3 linked regions of the Kluyveromyces lactis genome follow. The main gene of each other region encodes a partner of the protein of the gene in region 2 in a complex. Links are inferred from orthologs where the notes say so. Each region holds a gene or a part of one and is shown on either strand. Other genes may lie near its edges. The genes, in order: SNF11, SWI3 and SWP82.

What was found.
Region 1: SWI3 (region 2) and SNF11 share a complex: the UniProt entries of both Saccharomyces cerevisiae proteins name them as parts of the SWI/SNF global transcription activator complex. The link is inferred for Kluyveromyces lactis from reciprocal best matches to the Saccharomyces cerevisiae genes SWI3 and SNF11.
Region 3: the proteins of SWI3 (region 2) and SWP82 are in contact, whole or in part, in a cryo-EM structure (PDB 7EGM), measured with the Saccharomyces cerevisiae proteins. The link is inferred for Kluyveromyces lactis from reciprocal best matches to the Saccharomyces cerevisiae genes SWI3 and SWP82. Residues at the interface, in NP_012359.1 of Saccharomyces cerevisiae: Ile299, Pro300, Gln301, His303, Arg345, Asn348, Phe349, Asn352, Ser353, Leu356, Asn357, Asn359, Glu360, Tyr361, Phe362, Ser363, Thr365, Thr366, Arg369, Asn370, Leu399, Pro401, Lys402, Ile404, Glu405, Pro406, Pro407, Arg415, His416, Asp417; in NP_116605.1 of Saccharomyces cerevisiae: Leu240, Arg241, Pro242, Ser243, Phe318, Val320, Tyr442, Gly445, Leu446, Pro447, Leu448, Tyr449, Glu450, Thr453, Glu456, Arg457, Glu468, His471, Leu472, His473, Asp474, Ala475, Val476, Val478, Asn479, Thr480, Leu482, Gln483, Arg486, Lys487.

What each region holds. Positions count from the first base shown.
Region 1 is NC_006041.1:899,251-905,142, reverse strand, and holds SNF11 (Snf11p), read left to right. Parts: upstream 1-4,993; coding exon 4,994-5,392; downstream 5,393-5,892. Other genes in the region: PAA1 (polyamine acetyltransferase), read right to left, coding at 194-775; RNA-binding protein LSM5, read left to right, coding at 1,688-1,942; IPT1 (inositolphosphotransferase), read right to left, coding at 2,186-3,790. UniProt on the Saccharomyces cerevisiae protein: Involved in transcriptional activation. Component of the SWI/SNF complex, an ATP-dependent chromatin remodeling complex, which is required for the positive and negative regulation of gene expression of a large number of genes.
Region 2 is NC_006037.1:579,031-586,821, reverse strand, and holds SWI3 (Swi3p), read left to right. Parts: upstream 1-3,533; coding exon 3,534-6,425; downstream 6,426-7,791. Other genes in the region: KLLA0_A06446g (uncharacterized protein), read right to left, coding at 2,163-3,029; CCAAT displacement transcription factor COY1, read left to right, coding at 6,765-7,791. UniProt on the Saccharomyces cerevisiae protein: Involved in transcriptional activation. Component of the SWI/SNF complex, an ATP-dependent chromatin-remodeling complex, which is required for the positive and negative regulation of gene expression of a large number of genes.
Region 3 is NC_006040.1:501,584-508,751, reverse strand, and holds SWP82 (Swp82p), read left to right. Parts: upstream 1-3,309; coding exon 3,310-4,842; downstream 4,843-7,168. Other genes in the region: PEP4 (proteinase A), read right to left, coding at 1-1,197; KLLA0_D05907g (putative short-chain dehydrogenase/reductase), read left to right, coding at 2,045-2,926; KLLA0_D05863g (uncharacterized protein), read right to left, coding at 4,933-6,246; KLLA0_D05841g (SelT/SelW/SelH family protein), read right to left, coding at 6,614-7,012. UniProt on the Saccharomyces cerevisiae protein: Involved in transcriptional activation. Component of the SWI/SNF complex, an ATP-dependent chromatin remodeling complex, which is required for the positive and negative regulation of gene expression of a large number of genes.

The sequences.
Region 1 (5,892 bases), on a different chromosome or scaffold from region 2:
AACATTATCTTATTTAGTATCGTTTATATATACTTTTCTGTTAGAATACAGCAGTTACCAGGTATATCAGCTCAGATAACTACTACATGTAAAAGTTGCATCTGAGAGTTGAAATCCACCTTGATCTTCTTATTTTACTGCCGGATGATGGTTTGATTTTTCCTGTTTCCTTTTCATGCAAGTAAGGACCTGTTCAAGTCTCATACTCTTCCTTCACCAATTCTCTAACCATATTACACCAAACTTTGCCATTGCTTGAGATGACGTCTTTATTGTCACCAACAGATCTGAACCCGATTCTTTCATAAAATGGTACCAGCTCGTTATGGGCAATGATAACAATTCTGTCTCCGATTTCTTGGTTAGACATCTTTTGGATGTAATCTGTCAATAGTAGAGTAGCTAGGTTCTTCTTCTGATGTTGTGGAGCAATGACGACAGAATGCACTCCAATGACAGGAGAAGAATCGTCTTGTGTGAAACTCATGCTTTCGTTGGTAATAAAAGTTAATTCCTTGGTACCGTTTTTTGGGATGGGGATCTTGGTACCAAAGATATGGCCAATCAACTTTTCTCCCAAAATCTCAGTGCCTTTAACGTCTCTAATGAAAAGACCCGAGCTCAATTCGGGGCACATCTTCAATCTGAATTCGATCTTCTCCTTTCCAGCCCTTTCTTCAGGTGGGAAGCCTTGTGCCTCTAGCTCTACTGATGCTTGGCAATCTTCTATCGTTAATGGTCTAATATAAACATGCAGTGGCAATGACGATGACATAGTGAAAATTCTTTTCTGATTTTATAATACTTAATAATGATTTCCTAATGTTGTTTCTTCAATTCTAGCCACAATAATACAATTATTTGCTCCTTATTCTAGTTTGCTTCTAAAATCAATCGAACCTTATTATCAACAATGGTATTCAACTCCTAGACCAATTGATTTTATCAACTAGTGTTAGACAGATATGATGTCTTTGTGAACTGCTCAATAACGGAAGTGATAGTCTTGTGAGATGTGTGTCTATATGTATTTGTTATCCTTATCCTTATCATCATATGTAAAACCTTAGTATATATGATTGATATTGCAATTGAATTGTTATTTTGATATTGTACAAAGGAGAAACAACAGTTGCGGCAAGAATATAGAAATTACGCACCACTTGGTAGGAATTTGTGAGTGATAACCAAATCTAAAGTTGACAGAACCTGTAAATACCGGACTGGCAAGTTGAATGGTCACCAGAGGCTTAATCTTGGACCAGAACGCCAATCATCACAGCTGGTGAACAGTGTCTCAGGGACACCTGATGTTCGTGTTTAGTGAGATGTCATGTGACCCGTACCGTCCGTTCCTAGCGAAATTGCATGTTGTTTAAGCCTTTGTAGCCAACAGCACCATCAAGTCGATGCCAATAGATACAACATTCTTGGCCTACCTTGTAGCAGCTTTTAAGGCTTTTTATGGGCTCATTTCTTTACTTTATTGCCTTCTTTCGGCCAACTACGCTTACTTTCACCATACAATCACATATTGAGAGAGCTTTGAAAGTTTCAAGAAATAAGTACCTTTGATCAAAGAGATAAAGCTGTGAGCTGACGACAACTACTGTCTATTAGTATCATTAGACTATTAAAACCTCCTGCTCTACTACTGCATCAACACATATTTATAAAACGACGGGATATGAGTAGTGTTTCAGAGATTTTGCCCCTAGAGGTCATTGACAAAACAATAGGACAGGAAGTGACCATTCTACTTAAAGATTACAGAGAATTCTTTGGTACGCTAGTAGGGTTCGATGATTACGTTAATGTTGTCATTGAAAATGCGGTAGAGTATTTGGAAGACCAGGAGATTAAAAGATTCCAGGGAAAGATGTTATTGACTGGTAACAACATTGCTATGTTGATACCTGGTGGAAAACCTGCTTCAAATTAAACAATGGAACTGCATATTGATGTTCAAAACGAAATCTGTAACATGCATGCTGTTTTTTTCTCTCTCAGATGTTTGGTATTGATATATTGACTAACATCCTTTGTAAGTATATATTATATATTTTATATGTAAAATAATTATCATATTGAAGTGCAGCTTATACAAAAAATGAATCAATGCAAACGTACGAGACGTTTGATATACCGTATCCGAAGGTTTGTTGATTTTTGTTGTTCAACTATATCATGCCAAGGGATCGAAAAACCATTCGATCTTAGTGTTTTCAAAAACTCTCATACCCATAGTTTTTGACTCTTTCATTTTGTCCAAGGTAGGATCAGCCCTGGTTATTAGCCAAGGCTTGATAACTTTTGGTTGCAAGACGTATTTGTTGATCAAGATGTATGAGATTACAGCATAAACGGCACCGACGAATAAATCGTATCTGAAATGGTGATCCAAATATTGGGTTGACCACCATTGTAAGCATACGAAAATCGTACCCAAAAATTTTGGTAACAGACCTTTATGGAAAATGTAGAGCCATTTGGACTCTAGAATATGAACTGGCAAAACCTGCTGTTTGGCAAGGATTTTAGCAACAGCCAACGTATTTAGTTCTGAATCCGAGTCAGAAGTCGTTGCGCGTGCTTCCAAGTCGTCATCCCCACCGTTAGTTGTTTGTAAAGTTATGCTATTAATATGTGAAACGAGTTTACTTTCGACGCTGTCACTATCATCAGCAAAATCGTCATCCTCGAACTCGAAGGGAATAATGGATTTGTTAGGTTGGACCTTAACATTCGTATAACCTTGTTCTTCTTCATCTTGTTCTTCATCCATCTCATAGTCATCATCTTCATCCTTTTGAAGAATGACAGGAGCAGCATCCGTAGCGATCGATTCCGGCACAGATTTCGTTTGTGTAGACCTGAACAAAAGGAAGAAGAAGCATTGTACAGCCATAGCCGAATGTAGTGACGGCACGGCACCGAACACGATTGGCGAGAGATGGAACCCATTCGAATTGAGATGAGTTCCAAGATGCATGTCGACCCTAGTCAACCCAGCAGCGTAACCCGGTTGACTGTAGTTCAAATGAGCCGTATCATGGGCACCGTACATATGTATGAACCATGGTGGAGCCATTGGTAATAAAAAGTGAGTGAAGAGCCCAACGATATTTTGTAAACCTAATGCGAATGAGAAGCATTTCAACGTACCTGGGATGTGGAAAACGTACAAATACACACCAGTAAGAATGGGCCCAGTGAGATGCAGAATCACGTACATCACCCAAGCCAATAAGTCCTTGAACTTGGTGAAATTCGACGGATCCTGACTGGATAAAAGGTGATCGAAATTCAACATCACAAATGTAAAGAACAAGAATAGAAAGGGTAACACGTTTCTCATCCTGCTAGGTCGGAATTGAGATGAACCGATATAATTCAAAGGGTATTGTAGCAAGACGTCTGTCTCATCGAACAGGTTATGCCTCAATTTCTTGGTATAATAAACATAGTACCAGATGAACAATGGCACCACAGCAAATAAGATACCGATGATACTACTGCTCACGAGAGACACCACGAATTCCAACCTGGTATCAAGAGAATGCCAGTAATCACCAAAAATATACGCATCACAATAATAAGCGACGCTACCCCAAATGGGTGGTCGCCAATTGGTAGGTATGACACCTGCATTCTTGAACATAAACAACCATATAAAGATTGGTGAGAAATTCAAACAAAAATTCAAAGCCAGTGTGAAGACATTGCGTTGATTTACACCACCCAAATATACCCTTTTGATGAACCACGGGATCCAAAGTAAGCACTCCATGTCTTGGAGTAGGGAACTTTCAGCTGAAAACGAAAATCCACACACAGACAAACAAATAGAAAGCTTGTTAACTAAATACTATCAAAGGACGATGAGATAGAACCTTGAGAAACCTTAGAGAAACTTTTGATATGCAAAATGATTCGAAAAGAGAAATACCAGAAAAAAACCTGAAAAAAACCACAAGGCAAAGAGAATAAACAGCGGGTGGCTTAAGCCTGGATTCCTCTTAATACCTTGCCACTACTTAAGTTATCGACTAGATGAAGTATCAAACATCACAAGATTAACAAGATTTACTAGTTGGCATTAACGTCTATCAACAAAATGGATGGACATATTTGTATATATATTTAATACTTTATTTTGCAGAGAGTTACGTATTTTAAGATGGCTGCGGATTTAGTAAAGCAATTCGAAAAGAAAAGAACTAATATGGCAAGGAACAGTTTCGGTAATAAAGAGTTTCCAGTTGAAAGGTAACCGTTTTATGGTGGATTTTCTGATCGGACGTACTGCCAGCAGGGCCGAAAAGAAATGGGTGAGGTTCCTACGCTGGGAACTGGTCCGTCTTGTGACTTAAACCCACGAAAATATGCGGTAACTTGACTGAGAGAAACTGAGAGATGGTACGTTTTTCGTCTGGCTATGGAATTAGGTAGGAATTCAGTTTATGCGTCCTTCGTTGTGGCCTAAGGCTAAGAATTTGTTGGCTGAGCTTTTTCTATTGTAACTGAAAACATTGTTTGGGATTTCATAATGTGGGGGAATAATGTGAATCGATAGTTATAGTTATGTAATGGTGGCATTTTGAGGCGTTGAAGGGGTGGCAGTAAGGGAGGAAGAGCATTCGTCATCAAAGTGGCTGAGAAACTCTTGCTGTTTCTTTTTTATCAGTCACGTGTTACACACGTGACTGAATGTGTTTTAAACTTAGAAACTTATGTCCTATGAATAGGTGACCGTATAGAGCACGAGTGTCTAGTGTACATAGATATGGCAGCCCAGGGATTTTTGTGATCTTGGAGTGCCTTTAGTCGCTATTATGAACTGGATACTTAGTGGTTTTTTCGTTCCGCTTGAAAATAATTCAAATCACGTTTTAATTCGTCTTACTACTTTGACAGTGAAGGAAGTTCAAAGATAAAAAGATCGACTGACTGACGACTACGGAAAAGTACCCTGCACCCACCCTAGATCAGCATGACAGATCTAAACCCAGCAATAGACCTGAAATCAGACTCAGGAGTCTCACCAAAGCAGAAGCTACAATGGAAAATACAAGTGCTTCTTCATATCAACTCGATGTTGATCAAAAAATCCCAAGAAACAAGAACCATGTACGAAAGCAGACAGGTACCGACACTCGCGTCGCTGTCCAAAGAACAAATGGAACAAATACTAATCCAATATACGAAAAGAATACACTGTAACTTACATACAATATCTCAGATAAATCAAGGAAATCTAGCAGCAAAACCTCCTATCATGGACCCTCCTCCAAACCCATTTCTTTCAAACACTGCTTCAGCTCAGGAAAGACAACAGGATATGCTGGTCAAGATGTATCTATTAATGAATAGAATGTTCCAATTATGGTAGCTTCAACGAACACTGTGCGTACATTGTGTGTACACTGTGTGTACATACATAATATATAGATAAAACGCTCTCATTTTAACGCTCTCTGTAGTTACCTATAATAATACTTGCTCCATTCCGGTATCAGCACCGTATGCAGCAATGCAGCAATGAAGCATAGAACGATTGCGGTCCTTGATAGGCTTCCACAGACATCACCAGATGTTTATCTGTCTTCGATATTCCCTTTAATTCTCAAGTTTCCTGAATTTTTTTTCCGTCCGTGCCATCATGATATGACAATGGCAATTGCCATTGCCATTGCCATTATCAAATCCTCTCATATGGACAAATAAATATAAATATATACAAGTATGTCAATTACGTTAAACGTACTAGTGCTTCGTGAGTATATTTAGATTAGCACTGATTCTAATTGGTATTCTCATCGTTATAATATTAGATAGAAGATCAATCGATTGGACTGGGGGAATAGTTCCATTGTATGAGTGTTTAAATTT
Region 2 (7,791 bases):
ATATTTGTGTAATGACAAGCTGGTTCTATGATGCCACCCTAACCAGGTAAAAAGTAGTTCACCAACGACACAATGCCAAAAAAAGTATCAAATCCAAGATCAAAAAGCGAAGTAGAGTAAACATAGAAACCGGGAGGATGAGGCTATGCCACACAGTGGTTATTAAACTTCGACGTACCGTGTATCTTGAGAATTTTACAGAGTATTACTACAGAAAGGTACTGATGAGCGATGACGCGACGATAAGAATTTAAAAGAAAAATAGAAAAAAAAACTCTATATAGAACAGATTATAGCGAAGGCAACGAACCAACAATGTATCAAAAGAAAGGATCAGTTACGGAAGCAATCAGTATGTTTGATCTGAAAAAGGAAAAAATCATTCCCAGCAATGAATGAATAATGCTTTAATCATTCGAACATTAAAAGAAACTGCAGAAAATAAAACACGCCGCTATCCCAAAAATTAAGCTATGGCTCAGCCCGTCTCTAGTTCTAGCGTACAAATCACTTTTTCGTACGAGAGAGACACCGAAGAGTATATACTGGATCCAAGTTATTGTATATCGGCAAAAGAGGTGTGCTTTTCCCACAGAACAGAACGCTATTAGATTGTGAAACACTGCGAAAGAACTTTAACTGGGCTTAGTTGTGGCAGGACTTCAAAGCGCTCTTTACTAAGTAGAATGCGAAAAAATCGAATAGCAACAACTGTCAGAAACAGACATAGAAAATGAGTTTTGCTCGAGAGTGATTTTTTTTCGCCTGTCGAGGAAACCAGTTACGTCGTCTTCTACACTATATCAAAACGACATTGTGGCACTTTTGTGTAACCAGTGGCAACGAGATCCGAGAACATAGTGCGATGTATGGGTGTCACGGAACAATTAACAGGAAAATTCTTTTCAAAATTAAAGTTCCGTCATTCAAATGCGGAACAGCTTTTGTGCTGTAATCTCTGTGAGAGATCTTTTTCAGAAAAAGCTCGCACCAAGTTATTCCTATTGGACCCTTGAAATCGGAAAAAAAGTTAAATCTGAGAAACAGGCAAAAACAGAGAAAAGCAAACTGAAGGTCAGGTGACCTAATTTCCACTAATGCGCATTCTTTCTGGTCACAAGCTACCCTGAACAAATGACGTTTCTTTCGCTCGTATTATATGCATTTGATATCAATTGACTATTTAATATACACCGTTATCTGGCGAGTATCGCTATGCTTTCACCACAAGCTGTTAAGTCGTTGTAGGTATAACAACATTGTTATATTTGGAATTATCACATTATGGAATATCAATAGCGGATGCTTGTGGGGATCATATATTCTTCATCTCGAATTTAATATGATAATTTCTTCTGTACTCAATATCTATCCCGAGTAAGTCGTTGTTGGATACGCCATTCTCCTCCATCAAGCCATTATTCACGACTATTGAATCCATACATGTGTCAATTGCCCTTGATCAGTGCCAATGAATGTGATGTCTTCTACAAATGTACAAACGATGATTGATAGGGTTTGGTCCACACGATTGTATTTAGAATTTCTTCAGATCTGATAATAGCCACGCGGTTATTATATCTAGTTGTGTTAAACTCAACACTGTAGTTAATGCATATTAGTGAATTTTATTGGCCTCCAACCCTTTTTTGTAGGTTAATCATCGTGTTGGTCTTCGCATTCTTTACGGTAATGAAGATTAACATCATGTTAAGACCTTTCTTTGGTTCTACCTCTTTGATGTCAAGTAAAGTCTGATTCCATGTTTCTCTTCTGCACAGTTAGAATATTACAGACCAGTAAGCTTCTCTGAATTGTTTACGTTCAGTGTGGTTATCATTCCTTGAGAGTGCCTGTTGATAGCTTAGTGATCTATCTATTTTGGTCTGTGCTATCCGTGGTACACTTTGTAACGCCTGGATTGAGGAAATGTAGAAACGTCCTTTTTGTTTCATACGGTCAAAATTGGAGTCCGGACTCTCTTTAATCATTAAATTGACTATTATATGAAAATCCATTTGTGGATCAGGTTCATCCGTTATAAAGTAGTCTTTATCTGATACTTGAACCACTTATATCCTATCCTCCACTCCTCCTACCAAGAATCAGTAGTTGTCGGTTGTAAGATTGTTTGGATGACCATTGTAGTTTTTGGGATTTTTCTAGTCCCAGAATTTATTCCGTTGTTTGAAGGATTTATTCCTGTCATCGATTCTCCTATCAGTGTTTTCGAGTGTTCTCTTTTGTTTAGTCATTTTGCTAAACCTCAATTCCTTCTTTAATTCTAGGATTATCTCAGTGGTTTGATTTGTAGGTGGTTTGCTGATGGGATGTATGCTATCAAAACCATGGTAAATCATAATATGTCTGTACACTTTGTCGGCCAGGATAGTATCCAAGTGAGGTAAATTGCATTTTTTGAAAGCTTCAACTAAGTCTGTTAAAGTTTTTATTAAACCCTTCACCTTGTAACGAGGATTTACTTCGAAGAATTTGACTCTATGCTCCAGTAAATAAGGATTGTATTTCTTATGGATATAGTCCATAGCAATGGTGGGAATGTCGGCATAATCCTCACGGAATTTCTCTCGATGAGCTTCCAACCATTCTGGGTTTTCTGGTAGAGATACTACTCTTTCATATACGTCTTGCCACCATGCGACTTGATCTGAATTGATACCGTCGAATAGAGTTGTATTTGAGAAGTCAAACTTATCTTCATACCCACAATAAGTGAAGTATTTATAAATATCAAACAACCATTTTTCTAAGAAGTCTTTTGTTTTGACCTCTCTGATATGAACATCATATTTTGCCTTTTCACACGGGAAAGGACTAAAGATGTTATCTTTTAGGTACCGTGTAATACTCGAACTATATTCATCTGTTACTTCCTTGATTGAGTAATTGTTGAACAGCTTTTTGTTGTTTGAACCTGTGGCGCTACCATATTGAGTCCCGGAAGCTCTCTGTTCAGTGTTACCCTGACATGATGATATTCCTTCGCTCATATTATCTGTATCTGACATCAATTGACTATTTATTATACACCGTTGTGTGGTCTGTATTCCTCCCTCTCCCCACCATCATCTTTCCATTATATAATGCCTAATCATCCTATGAGTTGGCATAAGATTGATTCTTCTCTTCTATTTGTACTTCTCTATCTCGTATATGATAAAAGAGTTGTCACGTAATAGTTCTTTCTATCTCGTATACTTTCGTATAGATGGATCTTAACACTTAACATATCACGTGCACAAAGGTATCATCTATTACCCGGACACAAATGGTCTTCCTTAGGAAAGATGTTTCGTCCTGTTTTAACAATGTTAAAATAAACAATTTCAAGTAAACAGACATTAAGTCAGGTTTGGGCCAGTTCAATCTAAAGCATCGATCAATTTTCGCGTCATTGCTACTACTTTTCAGCTTGTCATCACTCATCAGTTATTCTGACTCCACTTCTTTGTTGACAAGTGAAGGAAAGCAATTCGCCTGAGGAAGATTATAGTTTATACACGGATTTTTTAATGGCAGATGACGAACAACGGGACTCTGTTCTTGAGTCTGCACAAACTCAGAGCTCAGTAGAGAATACCCAAAACACGTCAGAACAACCTGGTTTGATAGACCATACCGAGGATGTAGATATGGGAGGAATTGATGATAACTTGGACATGGACGTTGAACCTAATCTACCTGATGATTTTGGTAACGAATTCTCAGAATCTTTGCCGCAAGACTTCCCTGAAGAGTTCGGCGATGCACCATTGGCCGAAAACCTCCCTGAAGGAATAAACGATAAGCTTTTATCGAATCTGGATAATGAGAACGGTGACGCGGACGATGCAGATCTATTTGAGGAAGAACCCGAGGAACAAAACCCTGCTAATGAAGCATCCGAATCTGATTTGTTGAAATCCCCATCTAAAGAAGACGATACTACCGCAGCAGGTAATGAGGAACAAGAACAAGAACAAGAACAAGAACAGGACGAACAAATGGATAAAGAGAATGACGAAATCGCGTTGCCAGAAACTAAAAAGGAAAGCGATTCGAACGGCGAGGGGAACAATGACCCTGTTGGAAATATAGAAACTGAACAGAGCGAGGTAGAACCTGCACAGAACGAACTGGAAACTGCCAATGACAAACAAGAGCCAGCACCAGAACCAGAATCATTTACTGAAAACCCCAAATTACCAGACGTGAAGGACTTAGGGCAGCCCGATTCTGGTATAGATGCTCCAGTACATACTACAACAGAGACAACAGTTGATGAAGAAATTGATAAAGAGCACAATACTGAAGCAGAAGCAGAACCTGAAGTAGATAGTATTCTTGAACAAGAATCGAGATCAGCTTCTCCTGAATCAAATATAACCGTAAAGCAAGAAAGTAATACTGCTGATCCAAAATTATTTGTACCGCAATCCCATGAAATTGTAATCCCTTCATACTCGAAGTGGTTTAATTTGACCAAAGTTCATGAAATCGAAGTGAAATCTTTACCGGAATTCTTCACTAATAGAATACCTTCAAAGACACCCCAGATGTACGTCAAATATCGTAACTTCATGGTAAACTCTTATAGACTAAATCCAAATGAATACTTCACAGTCACTGCAGCTAGAAGAAACCTTTGTGGAGACGCGGGCGCCCTCTTCAGACTACATAAATTCTTAACCAAATGGGGATTGATCAACTATCAAGTAAATGCTACCAAGAAACCTAAAATGGTTGAACCCCCATTCACTGGTGAATATGAGACGAGATACGATGCTCCGCGTGGATTATTCCCATTCCAATCTTATAAGCCGGCCCTACAACTTCCTGATATGACCCGCTTAAAAAAGATAATGACTCAGTTAGACACCAAACCCTCGGAACCATCATCTTTGAAAAGGACTAGTGATGAAATCTCCAGTGAGCACACTCAAGATTTGTCAAACGGGGGATCCAGTCACGTTAATGGTATCACTAACAAAACGGCTTCGGGTTCTGTGGGACCAGAGAACTACGGCCTGAAGGATGAAAAGGAGTCTCCAGTGAATGCCGACCTTGAGAGAAACGATCGCAAACCCAAAAGACCAAAGATTTCTCAACTGATTGACAAAGATTGGACCCAAGAAGAAATCTATAAACTTATCGAACTTATTAAAGAGCATGGCACCGATTGGTTTAACATTGCCAAAACTCTAGGAACAAAGACTCCGGAGCAATGTATTTTAAGGTTTTTACAATTGCCTATTGAAGATGCATTTTTGATGGATGAAAAAGATCTCGGACTCTTGAAGTTTGGTTCTCATATTCCTTTCAATAAATCTGACAACCCCGTAATGAGTACGTTGGCATTTTTAATAGGGTTAGTCGATCCTAACATTGTTCAGCATTTGACTAAAAGGGCCATTTCTCTTCATGACATTAATGTTAATACGGGTGCTAACACGGAAGCAAAAGACGCAGAAGAAAGGCAGGAAGAACAAAAAGAAGAACAAACAGAGGAATCAAAAGAAGAACAAAAAGAAGAAATAAAAACTGACGCCAGGGAAATTGAGCATACAGAAACGGGAGCTGAAAAATCTGAACCTGCAAATTCAAATGCCGCAGATCACTCCACAGCAACTGAAGGAACTGCTCCAGCAGCAGAACAAGTAGCAAATTCAGATGTAACTGTTGACACTTCAAATGAGAAAAATGCAAATACACCAGAGAATGAAGAAAAAGAAGCAACAGAAGTAAGAGCTGAAAAAACAGGAGAAGAAGGGCTACAAAAAGCGGAAGAAAAGAATAAAGAGGAAGGTAGTCAAGAAGAAGCGATTCCAGTGGAAGAACCTCATCAAGAAGAATCTTTAGAGAATGAAGCATTATCAAACAAGGAAACACCATCGGAAAAACAAGAGCTGCCAGAAGAACAAGCAGTAACGGTCACAAATGCTGAATCTGATGCTAGAATAACAGTGAAGGACGGCACAGAAGTCGCTCTAGCTACCTTGGGGCTACGCTCTCATGTATTCGCTACCAACCAAGAAAAATTGATGAATAGGACGACAAATGATTTAATCAATACTCAACTAACAAAAGTCGATTTGAAGTTGAAGGCTCTTGATACCATGGAAAAATCCTTGGAACTAGAGCGCAAGGCTGTGCATAGGAAGCAAGAAGATGTTTTCATTCAAAGGCTAAGCTTCACCAAGTATGCCAACTCTCTTATGGGAAAATTTGAATCTTTACTGAAGCAAATTCCGGAATCTCCAGAAATCAAACAGCAATTACACGAATTACGTACCATAATTGCTGATCCACCAAAGACAAGTATCACATCCCAATCGGGTAATCTACAAGATTCTGATGATCTAGACTCCGCCAACAAACCAATATCGATTGAGTCACCGCAGTTATATCGTTATTGGTCAGGTTAATAATATAGACAATATTCATGTATTATATAGCCTCGTAACATTATATTAATTTAAACTATTGAAACAACACAAAAAGTCAAGCCTCTCCTTGTCCAAATGCAACATCTTCGTTGGAGTAAATCCTACTTGTTTTTTCCTTTGTACCTTGTCTTCAGGAATTATGTCCGTATGCTATATTGTCTTTAAAATATGAAAATATTGGAAACCTTCAAAAAAAATAGCTTTAACTAAACACGAATACGATATTTAATATTCCCAATATCAGAACAATTGAATGATACTGGTATTCGTTGTAAAGGTCGGATTTGCATTATTAAGGACCCAGTAACAAGTTCTGCGATGAATTTGTCTACATATGAGCATGCGTTGTCATTGTGGAAAGAAGCTGGCTTCAGCAGTATACAATCGTTACTTGATGATAGCATAGCTAAGATAAAGGATTTAGAAACTTCATCCTTGGAATCAAGAAAAACGTTAGCCAGTGAGACCAAGAAGTACAAGAAATTGCCAGATGATGAGAAACCTAGCCAATCTTTGAAATTAGTGAAAGAATACCAGAAGGAGATTGATTCGTTGACTACCAGATCAACGTTCTCCGAAAAGGTTGTTATCGAATTATATGAGAAGTTAATTGAACAACCGGACCCAACAGGGATCCTAGAGTCTATTGTAGAGGAACTGAAGAAAGATGGCACAAATGTCGATGATATCAAAGCTGAAAACCAAAAATTGGCGGCAATTGTTAGCAAGTGTGCCGATTATGACACTTTAAAGAAAAGATTATCGGATCTTGAACAAAATTCGGCTAAGACATTATCCAATAGATTAATCGCCAAAGAGAAAGAAATTACATCCAAATGGGAAGAAAAGCAACGTAATTGGAATAATAGAGAGGACGAATTATTGAAACAGTTAGAAACGTTGAAAAATACCAATAGCATCTTGGAAAAGAAAATAGGTGCTCAGGTCGATTTGGAGCAACAAGAAGATGGCGATGATGACACCGTTCTCGTTAGTGGAAAGAATAGCGCTCAAAGTGAGCTTCTGGTACAAGAACTTGAGGCTGCACAAATTCGTATCATGAGTCTTGAATCACGTAATGAAGAATTAAATTCTGAGGTAACCAAATTGAAGAGCGATGAACAACAGGATTCCATATTTCAAGAGAAAGAGACTAAATTGAACCAATTGGAAAGTGAAAATGCTAAATTGGTTACATGTTTAGAAGAAGAACGCAAGAGTTTGAAGGAAACATCCCAAACGTTGAGCTCACAATTGAAATCATCTGCACTTGAAACGCAGACTTATAAATCGGAATTAGAGACATTGAGACGCAAGTTAACGAACTACTCAGATTATGAAAAAA
Region 3 (7,168 bases), on a different chromosome or scaffold from region 2:
ACCAATATCATAAATGGAGTAGTATTTACGTAGGAAGGCATCACCAATAATGGCCAAGGGACCAACTGGTTCTGGGAAGTCCATTGGAGTGAATGCAGAGATACAAGACCCAGAGACTTCCAAAGTGTAATCGTATGCGGTAATAGTGAAGTTGTAACCGTTGAAATTCAAAGTTAAGTCTGGTAGACTATCTCTAGATTCACAATCAACGGAGTATTGACCAGACCAGCCCTTCTTTGCACCGATTTCAGCGTTCAAAATTTCAGCCAAACCGCTTGGCAAAGCAATCAAAGAGGTACCGGTGTCGATAGCAGCACCATGACCTTCTAAAGTAGCATATTCTTCACCCAAACCGATACCTTCAAACTTGACTTCCCAGTAAGCCTTACGACGAACAGGCAACCAAGTGATTTCACCGGTGTACTTCTCCTCATCGATACCACCGAAGGAAGCTTCACCGCCATCTTCAGACTTGTCAGAATCACCCAAGTAAAAGGCAAACACTGGGTCATCCAAAAGTTTGTTTTTGATAGCGTTGTACACTGGTGGAACGATTCTGTTAACAGAGATGGAGTCGTAAGCCAACCCCAAAATACCATCGAATTTACCAAAGGCAAATGCCAAACCTGGTTCGCTGGTAGCTTCAGCGAAATCCTGGTCAGGTATCACTAAATCCCCAATGGTCAACAAATCACGAGACACATATCCTTCAAGGGAACCAGAACCATATTGGATAGCAAACTCGGAACCATTAGCTTTGTAAGTGCTAGAAGCCTCATGGTCATATTTGGTGTGCAAGAAACATGCCAAAGAACCACATTCTGCACTTGGAACCCACAAGTTTGATGAACCAGTGTCTAAGATAACCTTAAAAGACTGTGGTGGCGAACCCAAAGTAATTTCTGTGAAATACTGAGCATTCAAGTAATTGGTCAATGGGACACTGTGAGACCCTTCTGGGGCAACGAAAACATCAACGTTATCCTTAGAGAAAGATTCTTGAGGGTAAGCTCTTTGGAAGCTATTTAAGTACTTTTCACCTAGTTGAGCCACATGTTCGGCAAATGGAACATCCTTCAATTGGTCTTCCAATTTATGTTTTTGAATTTTGGCCTTATGAATCTTGGCTTCAGCAACATCAAAAGAAGCCAATAACAATGAAGCTAGAGGCAAAAGAGATTGGAAATTCAAATGCATGCTTATTTTTTTGTTGTAAGAAAGCACCGTTTAATGAACAGTTAGCGGCACAATTTCAGAAAAATTTTGGGGGAAACTGTATAATAGATTTAATCAAGTTCCTCTCCGTTCAAAATACTGACACTACTATATATCTGACCGTCTACCCTGTCTTTAATATAGTTATGTCAACACTTCTATTATCGATGACATTATTCAGACATTGATACCCTTAAAACAAGGTTATTGCATAAACGGCAAAATTAATCGCCCCTTCTTTTTACCGTATTTATATTTGATATTTATATTTTTTATTTATGTTTCTAACTTTACTTTGTTTCAGTGCAATTTGTGTGCACCCTTCTGAGCATACTGTTGAAAATGGAATTGTCGCTGACTGTAGAGCCAGGTTAACCAAGCAAGACATTCAGTCGCTGCGCAGTGTTGTCAAATGTTGATGAATACAGTCATCTGGGAAACGAAGTTTGAACGAGATTACTTTGAAGCAAACTCTCCGTAGGACCAATGCAATACGCGGTGATTGGTGGTTCAAGATAGTTTTACATGAGATCTTTCAGTCACGTGATGGAGGCGGTTTTTCAAGGGGCCGGCCCCTCATAGGGGTGATGGTTGACAGCCAAACCAGTTCACAATCTTCAGGACGAATCGCAATGTCATTAGTCAGACATATTGTCGATAAAAGATCACCGCCGTAACTAATAAGTCGAAGAAATCATATATAGATACTATTTAAGGTAGCTTAGTGCAACGTTGATTGCAGATATGCAGCTTGCACAGTAATATTACCAAGAGTCAAGGGGGAACTATCTATTGTAATTGCATCGGACTAATCTTACATCAAACAACCATGAAGACCAATCCTGATATTGTATATACGAAGGCTCAAAAATTGATTGAACTCAATTTAGATAATAAATATGTTGCTATCGTAGGAGGAACGGGCGGTATTGGCCGTGAGTTGGCAAGAGTGTTGGCACAAAAGGGTGCTAAAGTCATCGTTGTTGGTAGAACGTTCAGAGACGAAAATGTTGAAGGTATTGAATTTATCCAGGCTGACCTAGGTTTGGTGTCAGAGGCATCCAGAGTTGCGGAATTGTTACCTGCTGAAAAGTTGGATCTTCTTATCTTCACTACGGGAGTTTTGGCTCCTCCAGCGAGACGTGAGACTAGCGAAGGTCTAGAAGAAGATTTGGCCGTCAGTTATATCAGCCGACTAGTGATGATGAATCATTTGGTACCCAGATTGAAGGAACATGGTGAGAAAAAACCTCGCGTATTTGTAATGGGTTTCCCCGGTGATAACTATATGGGAGATTATAGAGATTTGAATTCAGAAGAATCTTACGGAGCTATTTCCACACATATGAAAACAGTAGCCGGTAATGAAGCTCTAGTTTTGGACTTTAAGAATAGGTTTGCTACTGTCAATTTTTATGGGTTGAATCCGGGGCTCATCAGGACAAATATTAGAGATAATTACCTTGGTAAAGACACTTGGAAGTCAAGAGTGGTAGAATGGTTCATAGGTATGACAAATCAGACTGCAGAGCAATACGCTGAAAAGTTAGGCCCCTTGCTAGTTGCCCCAGAATTGGAAACTCATTCAGGCGCCATGTTTGACAAGAATGCTAACCCGATCCTTCCATCAAAAGATTTTACTGATGATTACGCCAGGAATTATATCAAGGCCTCAGAAGAACTTCTTGCAAATCTTAAGTTGGCTCAATGAATGACACTACCAACATCTGAAGCCACCGGCACTATTATCTAAGAATCCCGTTTTATTCCTATATTTTAGATACGTTAGTTTGTATGTAACCTAACTGTCGGGTATTTGCTGTGTCAGTTGCTGGTCATCACGTGATCAGTATCTTTATGTATTTTCCATTGTTTTGAAATTGGGTCTTTTCAACATGTAATCTAACTATCGAATGCCTGTCATTAACATAAACGTAAACATATGCATATCTTTCAAAGTACATCGTGAAAGAATTCAATAGACGGTATAAGCTGCGACACTTTCATCCATCCTAATTATATTTGGAACACCACGAGACCTTTCTGGCTGTTGAACAGGATACGTTTATTTGTTTATCTTCACATGCTGGAAAAATGGACTCCAGTACTAACTCATCTGTCACTGCTCAGGTGAATCCGGTGCCAGAATATGTCATAAAGAACCATGAGCTTTTTATTTTGAAAACCACATTATCAATACTCAATAACCCTGAATTACTCTCCGGCAGACTTGACAAGCCACCAACAAAGCAACTTGTACTACCTTCGTTCACCATTAAGGAAAGGTTATCAGACAACAATGACTCTTATGTTTTGGGAAAGGGTGATCAAAATGGGGAAACGAAGGTTGATAAACAAGGACGGTTACATGGAGAAAGGCATTACTTGTTTCCTACTTTCACTTATCCATGTGCGGAAAACAATAATTCGGAAAATTTGTACGTCTTAGTACGGGATTTGATTAGAGTCTTGAATCTAGATGTGGAACAACAAGAGTTTTTGGCTCAGCATCCAGACCTTTACCCAATTAATGCAAAACATGATATTATCGAATTTTTGACCCAGTATAAACTTTTACCTGAAGGTGCTACTGCTGCAACATATATCACAGCTAGATCTGCTTTTCTTGTCTTTGGAGCTGCTATACTAGCATCCGGATCAAGAGTGATAGATGATTACTGGGAACAACTATCCAAAGAACAGGGCTTCCAAGCGCAGCACAGAGTATACGCACTCTCTCAAAAACTTCTCGACATGGTATGTTCGATCGATCCAAGGACTAGAACAGCACATTCTTTAGGTCCACCTGAGCTTCCTGAATCGAAGCAAGCACAAGCGGGCGTTATGTCCACATCACAACCGCAATTCGAAGACCCGTTTTCAACCATTACGGAACTACCGCCTTTAGAAGCACGTAAAGAGTTCTTAAGTAATATTGCTCATGGTGAGCAAACTGCAATCATATCGGGTCAAACTATACATGGAGCAATCGAGTTGAGTACTATTTACAAAATTCCAAAATACCACTATAAGAATTCCTTCGCCGCTGCTCAACAACACAATGTTCTAGATTCCCCGATTGGAACGCACACCCACCCGGTAGAATCTCATAACTTTGGTAGAGGACGTAAAGCTAACTATGTTCCCCCGGAGGAGACAGATGTGTTGGCTCAAATTCCTGGATGGAAATTTACGCAGCTACCAGTTACAACAAATGATGAGTTACCTACAACTTTCAGTGCTGGAGGGTTACCGATATATAATAAGGCGAGACTTCCTGCAAGGTTAAAACTATTGACGCCAAACCAAATAAAAGATTTAGAACGATCCCATGATGTTGTTCATTTGAATACAGCTCTTGGCCATGTCCGAAAGTTAAGAAACACCCGTTGGACTAAATTTTGGCAGTATAAGGCCGGTGCACCTGTTGGCCTTACGGAGGATCAACTTTCGTATTACAAAGAGCAATATCTACAGCAAGTTTTGAACCATGTTGATGTGAGCATTGTGCCAAACGAAACGAAGAATGTAGATGAAAAGCGTACCGTTAAGCGAGTACCGAATCCAAATTTTTTGGGATACTCCAATGTGTCAGGGTTTAGGCCACCTTATGTTGAAAAACCTTAGAATAATAATGCAACTTCATCTATATCGAACTAAATACTGCTAGTAGAAAGCTATGCAATAAAGCTGCAGATATATATAGAGGATAATTCATTATAACAATTTAACTTTAACAATGTCTTGACGAATTTTGAAAGTGTAGTATGCCATAACTAAAACGATTAGTATTAGAGGCAAAATCCACATTAAGAGTCTCTTGACGATTTCGTCAACTGAAACGCCATTTCCAGCATTTTCCATGCTTTGTTTGGTGGCCTCTCTAATCTTTGCTTGATCCTGAAGTAATTGCTCCAACTTATCATTCATAACAAAGAGGTCCTTGAAGGATTCTGTATTTACTTCACCTTCTTTACCCATTGAAGCCACAATAACTTCTAAAGTAGTTGATAGATATTCTAGCTTTCTCAAGTGCGCTGCTTGATTTTCCAAGATGCCAATTAATTTACCGTTTATCACGCTGATGTCATTGGCTAATATCTTGCCCTCAATCTTATCCAATTTCTTGTAAAGTTCGTAGTTGTCCACCTTATTTGCTAAACCCTTCATTTTCATGAAATCTGTTTCTACAACGTCTTCTTTACCAGTATCCTTGTTGATAATCTTTGTTACCAATCTAGGCTGTTCCATAGGGTTAACATTTGGAATTGTAACTTCTTTAGTAAGACCGTTATGAGTATGTACCTTCAGGACTTCAAATGATTCCTTGTTAGCATCATTCTTTGCAGTGATACCCATCTTCATTTTCGCATTTTGTGGGAATTGAATTTGTCTGGTTTGGAAACACACCCTATTATCGACTTGAAGTTTCAATAGGTTATTGTTCTTCCTATCATAACTCAATCTGATAGTGGTTGGAATAGTAGTATCCTGATAGGCTAACAAACAATAGGCAAAAGAATGATCGTACACATTTTTTTCAGTCAATTTCTTAGACCCGTCGTTCAAGATACCACGAACAGAACTACCCACGGGCCCATTGGAATCCACCAAAATTTGAAGCCCATCAAACGCCTCTGGTCCACCGAATAAAGAAGTTCCTCCTGCACTTTTACCCTCCACTAACCAGAAGGACAACCCACCTTCAGATTTCCCTATAAAATCAACACTTCTGAAAGTCCATTCTATGGTGAAGGAGTCCTTAATTTGATAATCAGTCTTGTGCCAAATCGAACTTTGACTGGATGCACTTGGTGTTAAACGAAGTCTCCCTTCCTCCAAAACCAAACCTCCGCTGGTCTTCCAATCTGAAGGCACGGCATTCATGTGAACCAAATCAGGTAAAGAATGACTGGCATCTAGTATATCGTTATCAGACACGGCACTTTCATGTAATTCCGCTTCTGCAATTGCAGCTGCATTTGCAACGGTAATGTATGCGAACAATACAGCCAACCAGTGGACAAACATCTTTTGTTTCAAACGATGTGTGCTGCCCTACACTATTAAGATTGAATTCACTCTACAATAGAATAACAAGAGCAATATCCAATTCACAATACTTGTTCAACAAGGGTTGTAGGTTCCTTCTCGTTTGTTAAAAGAACGTCAATAAACTTATTTTCTTCCATAATTGATTCGATTCAAAATTCGGGTTTCATATCAAGAAAAGGAATATGACAAGACTTAGTATTAACACAAAGAATTACATGAGCTTACCACTGCAACGTTTCAAGCCGCCTAAAAATGTACTTGTGATCCTGTATTAGTTATTTATATAGTTATGAATTACAGTTATTCGTTATAAAGGTAGATTTTCAGTTCTTGTAACATTTATTTATGTCTCACAATCTTTGCATGACGTATTTTGATCATCTGTGGAGCATTGATTGATCTTTTCCGATACTAGAGTTTCTTTAGCCGAGGAAGATTTTGATTTCCTGTCGATATGGGCCCCTATGGCCACTTCATCATTGAAAATAAGAGCCTTTACCCGTTGTTTTAAATATTTACTGTCAGGAAATCCATCGTCCACGACTCTGTCCCAAATTACTATCGGTTGAGAACCTTCCGTTTGGTATCCAAGAACTTTGAATTCGCCTGGTTCGCCTGGAATCAATGAAATCTCTTTCAATTCAGATCCAAACGTTTGTAGAAGTTCTTGGACGTACCATGCACTCCGGAGATTCCATTTACATTTAGTGCAGAATACAATTGAAACTTTGGGGAATGGCATCTGTTTGAAAAGTAATAAAATAGATACCTTGAGTTATTCACCAACTATCTGTCAATGAAATTGCCTCAACATATGATGTTACTTCAAATTTTGGTGCTATGTATGAGTGTATGTATTTACATTCTCCAAATTTAACAGTTCCAGTTTGAGGAATCG